Linked DNA regions of Bombyx mori. The protein of the gene in region 1 purifies or fractionates together with the protein of each later gene. This does not show direct contact. Links are inferred from orthologs where the notes say so. Each region holds a gene or a part of one and is shown on either strand. Other genes may lie near its edges.

Region 1 (3,502 bases):
CCTTTAATTCCACTGCTGCTGAGCACGGGTTTCGACGCGATATGAAGTGTAATTAACCATTTACGTAAATTAATTGTGTTATTATAGTATAAGCTAGTTGAATGGTTTATACGCTATGTTTGTATAAAGCGAGTTACCTGCAGTCAAACTGCGTAAGCAGTTTTGCGGGGCATGTTTTGAATGGGTAACTTTTTATGAATAAATATATTACATACATACATAATATGTTACATATAGTTTAGAATGAAATAGATTTGTGATAGAAGAAAAATCTGTGAAGAATAGATAACTAATCCACAATATAGCTTACAGATGATGTGTTTGGTTAAGTAAACAACTATTTCTAATTCATTGTCAAGTTTTAAACAGGTATACACAGATATTATAAATGGGAAAGGTTGTGAGGATGGATATGTATTACTCATTCATGCTAAACCTACTGGAAGGATTTTGATAAACTTCAAAATGCAATCGATAGCTTATCAAATATATTATCATGGTAGTAAATAGCCTATTATATAGTATGATCAACGCAGTGGCCACTTCGATTCAAGAAATTGATGTTACAATTAGCAATATTCACAGGAGAGCATGGTCGTGTTGCAGTCTGTCATGAATATTTTTAAGGAGAATGTATAGAAAAAGAAATGTTTTTTCTATATTTCAGTTCTTGTGATATCCGGTACTCGGAGGGTATACAATCGTTGAACTGGACCAAAGTTATGAAAACTATAACAGATGACATTGAGGGCTTCTTCGAAAATGGTGGCTGGTCATTTTTGGATCCAGAATCTGATGGTGAAAATGAACAAGAGGTTTGTATATCAGAAAAGTAGAAAACGTTATAAACGATTTTCTGTTCATTTATTTAAAATAGTATTTAAAAAATTTAAGAAAATTTAAATTATTTTACGTAACAATATACACACTTTTTGTGAATATCTAAGAAACTTTTTTTTAATCATAGTATATATAACTTCTGATATTGGACAACAAAACATAATTTAACATATAACCCAAAGGACTTTAAAGAAAAGTTATTTGAAGCTTAAAAGTAGATATAGGTAATATAATTTTAGAAATTAATTTTCTATGAGATTATTTCGCGTAGATAATGACAGAATTGTTTCGATCCATTCAAAACAACAAATCTGATAAAACTAATTGTATTTTAGGAGGAAGATAGTGAAGATGAAGATGAAGCGTACGAGCCTACGGACGCTGAGTCTGATGAATCTGAAGGGTCTGACTATGATTCTGAGGCGTCTGATGAATCTGACGCTTCGGGTGATAGTGAAGGTGAGAATAACTAATTGTCAATAAATTAAAAAAAATCGGCTAGATGCCAGTTATTCATACATTACCAATATCTTTGACTAAATTGAGATTACCATGATCTTATTTTCGAAGTCAATAAAAAGGCTGTTTAATTTGTTATATTTATGGTTTCTATTAATAATCTCTGGCAAATCATAAGTGTGCTATTAATAATTATTCGTTTATTTGTTCGAATAGTTTATTCGTTTACATTTACTGGTTTACTGGTTGGTTTACTGGCTTTAGACATTACCACAAGTACGAATGTTACATATTAATTACTTGATTCGCAGAGGAAGACGAAGAATCCGGTAAAGACTGGTCAGATTTAGAGCGGGAAGCTGCCGAAGAGGATAAAAAAGACCGCAACTTCGATCGAGATGACTTCGACCGGAAACGTAAAGGACGAAACCAACAACGCTCGTACGACTCTGATGAGGGAGCCGCCAAGAAAAGCAAACATGACAAGTCTAATCATAAAAGTTCTAGTTCAAACCACAAAAGCTCTAGTTCCAATCATAAAAGTTCGAGCTCAAACCATAAGAGCTCCAGTCATAAAAGCCCTTCAAAGAACAGTAGCAGGTATGTCTGAATTGTTTAAATTAGAAAAAATAATTATGAGAAAGGAAAACTACGTATGAAAGCATCACTGAAAAATATTCAGATCTGTAAATCCCAGAAACTCAGCCTGGGTTGCAATAAGTTGAGAAAATTTTAGTGTACAGTATTGACTGACAGGATAGCCCTAAAATGATAGTAACATAATGTAACTAAGATTAAGTGAAAAGTATAATATTTTTCAATGATTATTATAATAATTATTCGGCCATTAAGCAGGCCGAATGCAGGTAGCATTGGAGGAAGCTGGTGCAAAAACTGGACCAAGGTGGTCACGACCCTCAGCAATGAGGAAACGACAGAGAAGAGAAGAGATTATAATATTTATAATTGCCCTAATTTCAGCCCTTCCAAGAACCGGGATAAGCACCACAAATCATCCCACCATGATCGACACCACAAGAGTGACCATAAGTCCTCTAGTAAAGACAAAGACAAGAAACATTCTAGTGACCATAAATCACACAAACGGTCACGCGATGACAGCAGAGAACACGGCAACAGCGCAAAGAAAGCGAAGTGAGTATTCTAAAAACAGATATATTTTATATAAATTTGGTTGCGTGCATAAATTGAAAGTAATAAACAACAGACTTATTTGATAAAAAGTCAAAAGCTGAAATATTTATCTAATAATTTTCTATAAAACAGAAATGCATGTCCCTACCACGTTATTTAATATGTCATTAATAATTAAAAAAAATATTCTTGTTTCAGAAAATAAAAAAGCAAACGTTTTGATACAAAGGATTCAAACGGGTTTCATTCGCCACAGCGGCTTGTTAATAATAATTACGTATGTGATTGTGTCGTCTCATAATTTGTCCGTCTAATGTTAAAAAACAGGTCTGAGTGTTTTGTATGTATGTTGTTAATAAATTTTCAGTTGAGAATGTGACACGATAATAGTTAAGTAAATTTAAATAAATAAAGAACCTGTGCCCCACTTACACAGCACACGATATTGTTTTTCCCGAAAAAAGCAAAGTGAATAAGAAAAATAAGAATTCATAATCTGTGTGTATTTTATTTATTTTTAAATCATAAATAACACGATTAAAAATAAAATAACAAAAAAGTATTATAACCCCAAAATTAAGATTAGGAAATATTCAGTTAGTAGTTACTAGTAAATATATGTACAGCAGTAACACATACAGGAATTTTGTGTTATTTAAATGAAATTCCGAAACCTTGTTTTGAGGTTACAATTCAAATCTCGTAATAGATAACTTACAATCTTCTACATTGATCACATTTGTACATTATGTACAGCAAATAAAATCTACCTACATATAACGTAAAATAATTAGCACTGTTTGTCGTTTCCTTGGGCCACAACGACCGGTCCTCGAGGTAGTACTGTAATTCTCTTGTCTAATATGCCTACGTCCTGGATTTTGGTGTCGGTCTGCTCTTGAGTGTCACTCGAACTCCAGTACTTCTTATTTACTAGCATTAGCAACATTAATGCTGGTAGGTGAAGTAGAGAAAATCTGAATAGCTTCCGCGAACTTGCGCTGTCTGATTTTTGGTAGAATTGCCATGCTGTAACAGATTTTAGATA
Region 2 (4,534 bases), on another chromosome or scaffold:
TCACTGTCGACGCCATAGACAGGTCCTTACGGATCCATAAGATCCAATAACTCTTGTATTAAATGCCATCAGCTCTTACAACAGAGCAGACTTAGGAATTCCGGTAACCGTACTCGTCGAACTCGACGTGCAACCTAACCTAAGCATCAGCCCGCTGAATATCTCGCCGGATCTTCTTAGCGGATCACGATTCCAATCCAGTAGCAGATTCAATCGCGGAGCAGCTACTCATGAGTTTTTAGGTCTCCTTTGGAGACGTTCAGGTAGCTGTTAGCAAATCCCAACCCTTCTGGCTTACTCGCCCACTTGTCGTGGTGAAACTGAAAAGGCTTCAAGGCCACCAGTAATCCTTCCTGCACAAAAATAATTAATGAGAATTGCCCCTATGTTTTTGCATTACATTGCATGATTACATTGCTCCATATAGGTAAACTGCACAAGCTAGTCTGTACAGTAAGCACCAATAGATTCAATTTTATTATAAGTCTAATTACCACAAAAAAAAATAGTAAAAAAAGTCAAACAGACAATGTTAAGAATAAAATGATAATAGAAATTAAATCGTAAAAGTAGTTTAATGATATCTACGACTCAAGAAAGCGCTACACGATAACCCTCTTATCGTGACCGCCGCTAGTTAGATATACAAAATATGTATATCCGACCCAAGCGATAGGACAACGCAAAGTCATCGTAGCCCGAAACGTGTCTTGTCGGATCCCCGGATCCACTCTCGGTGCTTTTAGGTCCCTCAAGCACCGGTTACTGTCGTTACGACGAAGAGTTCGACGAGCGAACTAACCCATAGAAACAGTCCACTGAGTTTCTTGCCGGATCTTCTCATTGGGTCGCGATTCTGATCGAGTGGTAGATTCTGCAAAGCACTGCACTTGGTAGGGCTAGTGTTGACAAATTCTCCCGAACACAGCTAGGCTACTCTTGGCAGAGTAGTCGTAGCTGTCGTAGCGGTGGCTTTCGTAGTGCTGGTGATGACGACAATGCAGCCCGTGGGGGTAGACATCGAGGTATTCTGCCTTCTACAAGGCCATTTACGAAAAGTATCTCCACGGTGTCCTCCTTTCTGGAGATGTGCCCAAAGAACTTGAGAATTCGTAGCTGAGCAGTCGACGAGTCTTTTTTTGTATACAAAGTTCTTTGCGAACAACGAACAAGAAGAGAAAACTTGCGATAGCCGAAGAAAATACTAGTGTCGAGAAGCTGATAGTTTACATAAAATCAAGATTGTTAATAAATAATTAATAATAATAATAATAATAGCCTTTTTATTCCTAAACATAGGGTTACAAGAGGTCCCTAAGTTCGGTGTGCCTTTTGGCATAGGCCTCCTCCAATTCCTTCCAATCCAATAAATAATTATCGACAATCTTATATCTTATATTTATTGACAATCTTGGTTTGTGAAGTTTACAGAAATCTTCTATAAAGTTATGAATTGGTTTAAAGTTACGATAGCATGCATGCAGATCTTCAATTATTGACATTTAAGCATGTACAAATAGACGTAGTAATTTTAAAGTGAGCATTACCCACGGTACCGTAATTATAGTTTCTCTACATACGCAGAACCTACTATACTATTATTACACATATTCTGCGTCTGGAAGTTACACGAATTTCGTATAATGACTAAGTATCCAAGTATAAATACTTTAGATTGAATCTTAGATGAAGGCTTAGATGGCATACATTCCATTGCCATTTCAGTTTTTTAAAAAGCTGAACTGTCAACTTGAAGTTCGTACAAACCAGAACATTGAACCAAGCGGAGTGAAGTTCCCTTTTATCGTATGAGCAACGACGCATGCGCATTCGTCACTTCTGGACACTTAGATTTTGCGCTCGTTTTCGGCCGGCCTCATGTAATCTTATTCGAACAAACGTTGTGATACGTAGGCAAAATGAGTGTCGAAAACCCGGCCAGCGATAATGATTGTGAATCTGTAAGTTATTATTTAGACTTGTTATTATGATATTAATCGTTCTACGTATTCAATAAGCTTCTATTGCTTAAGGTTTCGTGTCCTTACTGATGAAAATTACAACACGAAGCAAAATTTTCTAAGTCCCAATATGGCGTCAACTATAATGTTCAAGCAGAAAGAACGTAGCGTCGTTTGACACGCCAAGAATAAATGTGAAAAAAAAACACAAACTGCCACATAGCGTCTTTTCTAAAATATGAACAAATATACATTTGGGGTTAATGTTATGTTAAAAATTAAGAGAAATTTCGATCTCTTTCACAGGGAAAGGTAAATGGAAATAAAAATGAACACGTGAACGGCATGCATAACGGCTACAGTAGCTCTGACAAACACAAATCAAGCCACAAATCTTCTAGCAAAGACAAGCATCGCGACAAAGATCGCGATCACAAGGGCTCGTCCAAGCACAGCAGCTCTAGCAGGTAAGCATTCTAGAATATTCTGTATGAAATTAACGTTTTCACTATGAAATATTGTAAGTTTTATAAGTATTGTATTTAAAGAGACAAGGACAAAGACAAACACTCAAGCAGTAAAGAGCACAGCAGCTCCCATAAATCTTCCAGCAAAGATAAAGAACACAACAGTGAAAAGAGAGACAGAAGTGATAAAGATCACAGTAGCAGAGATAAAGAACGTAGTGACAAAGATAAACACCGCAGTGACAAGGACAAACATAGAGAAAAATCAAAAAGTGACAAAGATAGGCGTGATGAAAAAGACAAGAATAAAAGCAGTTCAGATAGCAAAAAGACATCATCATCATCATCATCCAGAGATAAAGAACACAAAAGCTCATCAAAGGATAAAGATCATAAATCTAAAAGTAAAGATGAAAAAGATAAAGATCGACACAGGAGTGACAAGGATAAACACCATAGGGACAAAGATAAGCACTCCAGTTCAAAAGATAAAAACAGGTATATATAGACAAGTATTTTTAATTAGAATTTAAAACTGACAGTATCCAGTCATATATATTTGACACCATCAATAGTTGTCAAAAGTCAGTAACATTTGGTTAAAAATTTTTGTAATGAATGCACCTGCATCTTAAACTACAAATTGAATGTATTTTGCAATTTTGGTTTCAGCTCCAGCAAGAACAAGGAGAAAAGTTCAAGTGAAAGAAATGAAAAGATAAAATCTGAGTCTCAGAATGTCATAAAAGATGAACCTATGGAGGTGTGTATGTGGGCTATTATTTTCTTATTGCATTCCAACATTGTCTGAAAAGCATAAATATAAAATCATTCTCCAAATATGCACTAAACCCTATAGTACTGCCATTCTCATAATGAGTTTTTTTGGTAGTTGTCTATTTATTTGGATGCCATTGTCCATGAGGGCCAAAATAATAATTTAGTTTTTTATTGTTAAGGTGGATCAACCAGTCTTAAAACGTGAACAAGATGATAGTGATGAAGGATATGCTGGAGCTAACACAACTGTCTCATCTTGTGACTACTCTATGTCCCAATTTAAAGATGAGCCACTTTCTGAACTGCCTCCAGATGATGAAAGTGAAGAGGATATACCACTAGTAAGTTGAATTCAAGAATAATCCATTTATACTTAATAACTACCAACTTAATACCCAAATTTATTATAATATTAATTTTTTTACTCATCCTTGTCCTTATTTCCTATTTTTATCATACAGTAACAGTTCTTATTTTTACTAAATATATAGTTATCTAATAAAATGAATATATTATTTTATAGACTGCACGAAAAGCTAAAAAACGCCATGTTAGTGATGGTGAAGAAGACATTCCATTACTACAAAGAAAGAAATCTAAGAAAAAAGTAAAAAAAGGTAAAAGTCTTAACATTATTCTAGAAATTAATTATAAACAGCTTTTTGAACCTTTTGGAAATGTTTACAGAAGAGACTTATGAAGATTATGATGATTATGAAGAAGATGAAAAACCTAAAAAGAAAAAGAAGAGTTCTGAAAAAACTAAATCAGTTAAGGTGAAATCTGAGCCCATAGATGATGGTATCAGTCCCAATAAACGGAAGAAAAAACAAGACACAGAAACAGAACAAGTCTGGAAATGGTAATTAAAGGCTATTTTTTGCTCATTAAAATATTGTAAACGATTATTTATAGTCTGACATTGCCAAATTATCCAATGTTTTGTCTACTTTTAAAACCAATAATATCACAAGGCAAACTTTAATTTGTTGTGACTTCAGATTGCTCAGTAGAACTTTTTTAACATTAAATATTTAATCTTAAACTCTGTGAAGTAACTGCTTTAGTGACACTTCATATCTAATTTCTACCAATAGATGGCGTGACATATCCAACCTAATTCAAGCATTGTCAGAAATAATTTGTCACATAACATCTTGATAGCATTTGACGTTGATAGAGGCTACCCCTCAAACATTTTAAATAATTCGAAACATAAGTGATCAAATTAAGCTGGATAAAATTCGTCAAATCATTTTTAGTTCGATATGTAATTGTGAATGTTCTTTTTTGAGGTTATATTGGTTTTATGGATTATGTTTAAAG

The links.
Region 2: the proteins of FACT complex subunit spt16 (region 1) and DNA topoisomerase I, mitochondrial fractionate together in Homo sapiens (co-fractionation; 3 studies listed by BioGRID and IntAct, with this or other methods). This does not show direct contact. The link is inferred for Bombyx mori from reciprocal best matches to the Homo sapiens genes SUPT16H and TOP1.

What each region holds. Positions count from the first base shown.
Region 1 is NC_085116.1:13,778,206-13,781,707, forward strand, and holds the end of FACT complex subunit spt16, read left to right. Parts: intron 1-667; coding exon 668-815; intron 816-1,175; coding exon 1,176-1,299; intron 1,300-1,610; coding exon 1,611-1,899; intron 1,900-2,280; coding exon 2,281-2,454; intron 2,455-2,652; coding exon 2,653-2,659; 3' UTR 2,660-2,949; downstream 2,950-3,502. Other genes in the region: protoheme IX farnesyltransferase, mitochondrial, read right to left, coding at 3,245-3,483. UniProt on the Homo sapiens protein: Component of the FACT complex, a general chromatin factor that acts to reorganize nucleosomes. The FACT complex is involved in multiple processes that require DNA as a template such as mRNA elongation, DNA replication and DNA repair.
Region 2 is NC_085110.1:12,999,212-13,003,745, reverse strand, and holds the start of DNA topoisomerase I, mitochondrial, read left to right. Parts: upstream 1-1,679; 5' UTR 1,680-1,919; coding exon 1,920-1,961; intron 1,962-2,267; coding exon 2,268-2,428; intron 2,429-2,509; coding exon 2,510-2,926; intron 2,927-3,100; coding exon 3,101-3,191; intron 3,192-3,387; coding exon 3,388-3,549; intron 3,550-3,731; coding exon 3,732-3,825; intron 3,826-3,895; coding exon 3,896-4,070; intron 4,071-4,241; exon of another isoform or gene 4,242-4,488; coding exon of another isoform or gene 4,489-4,534. UniProt on the Homo sapiens protein: Releases the supercoiling and torsional tension of DNA introduced during the DNA replication and transcription by transiently cleaving and rejoining one strand of the DNA duplex.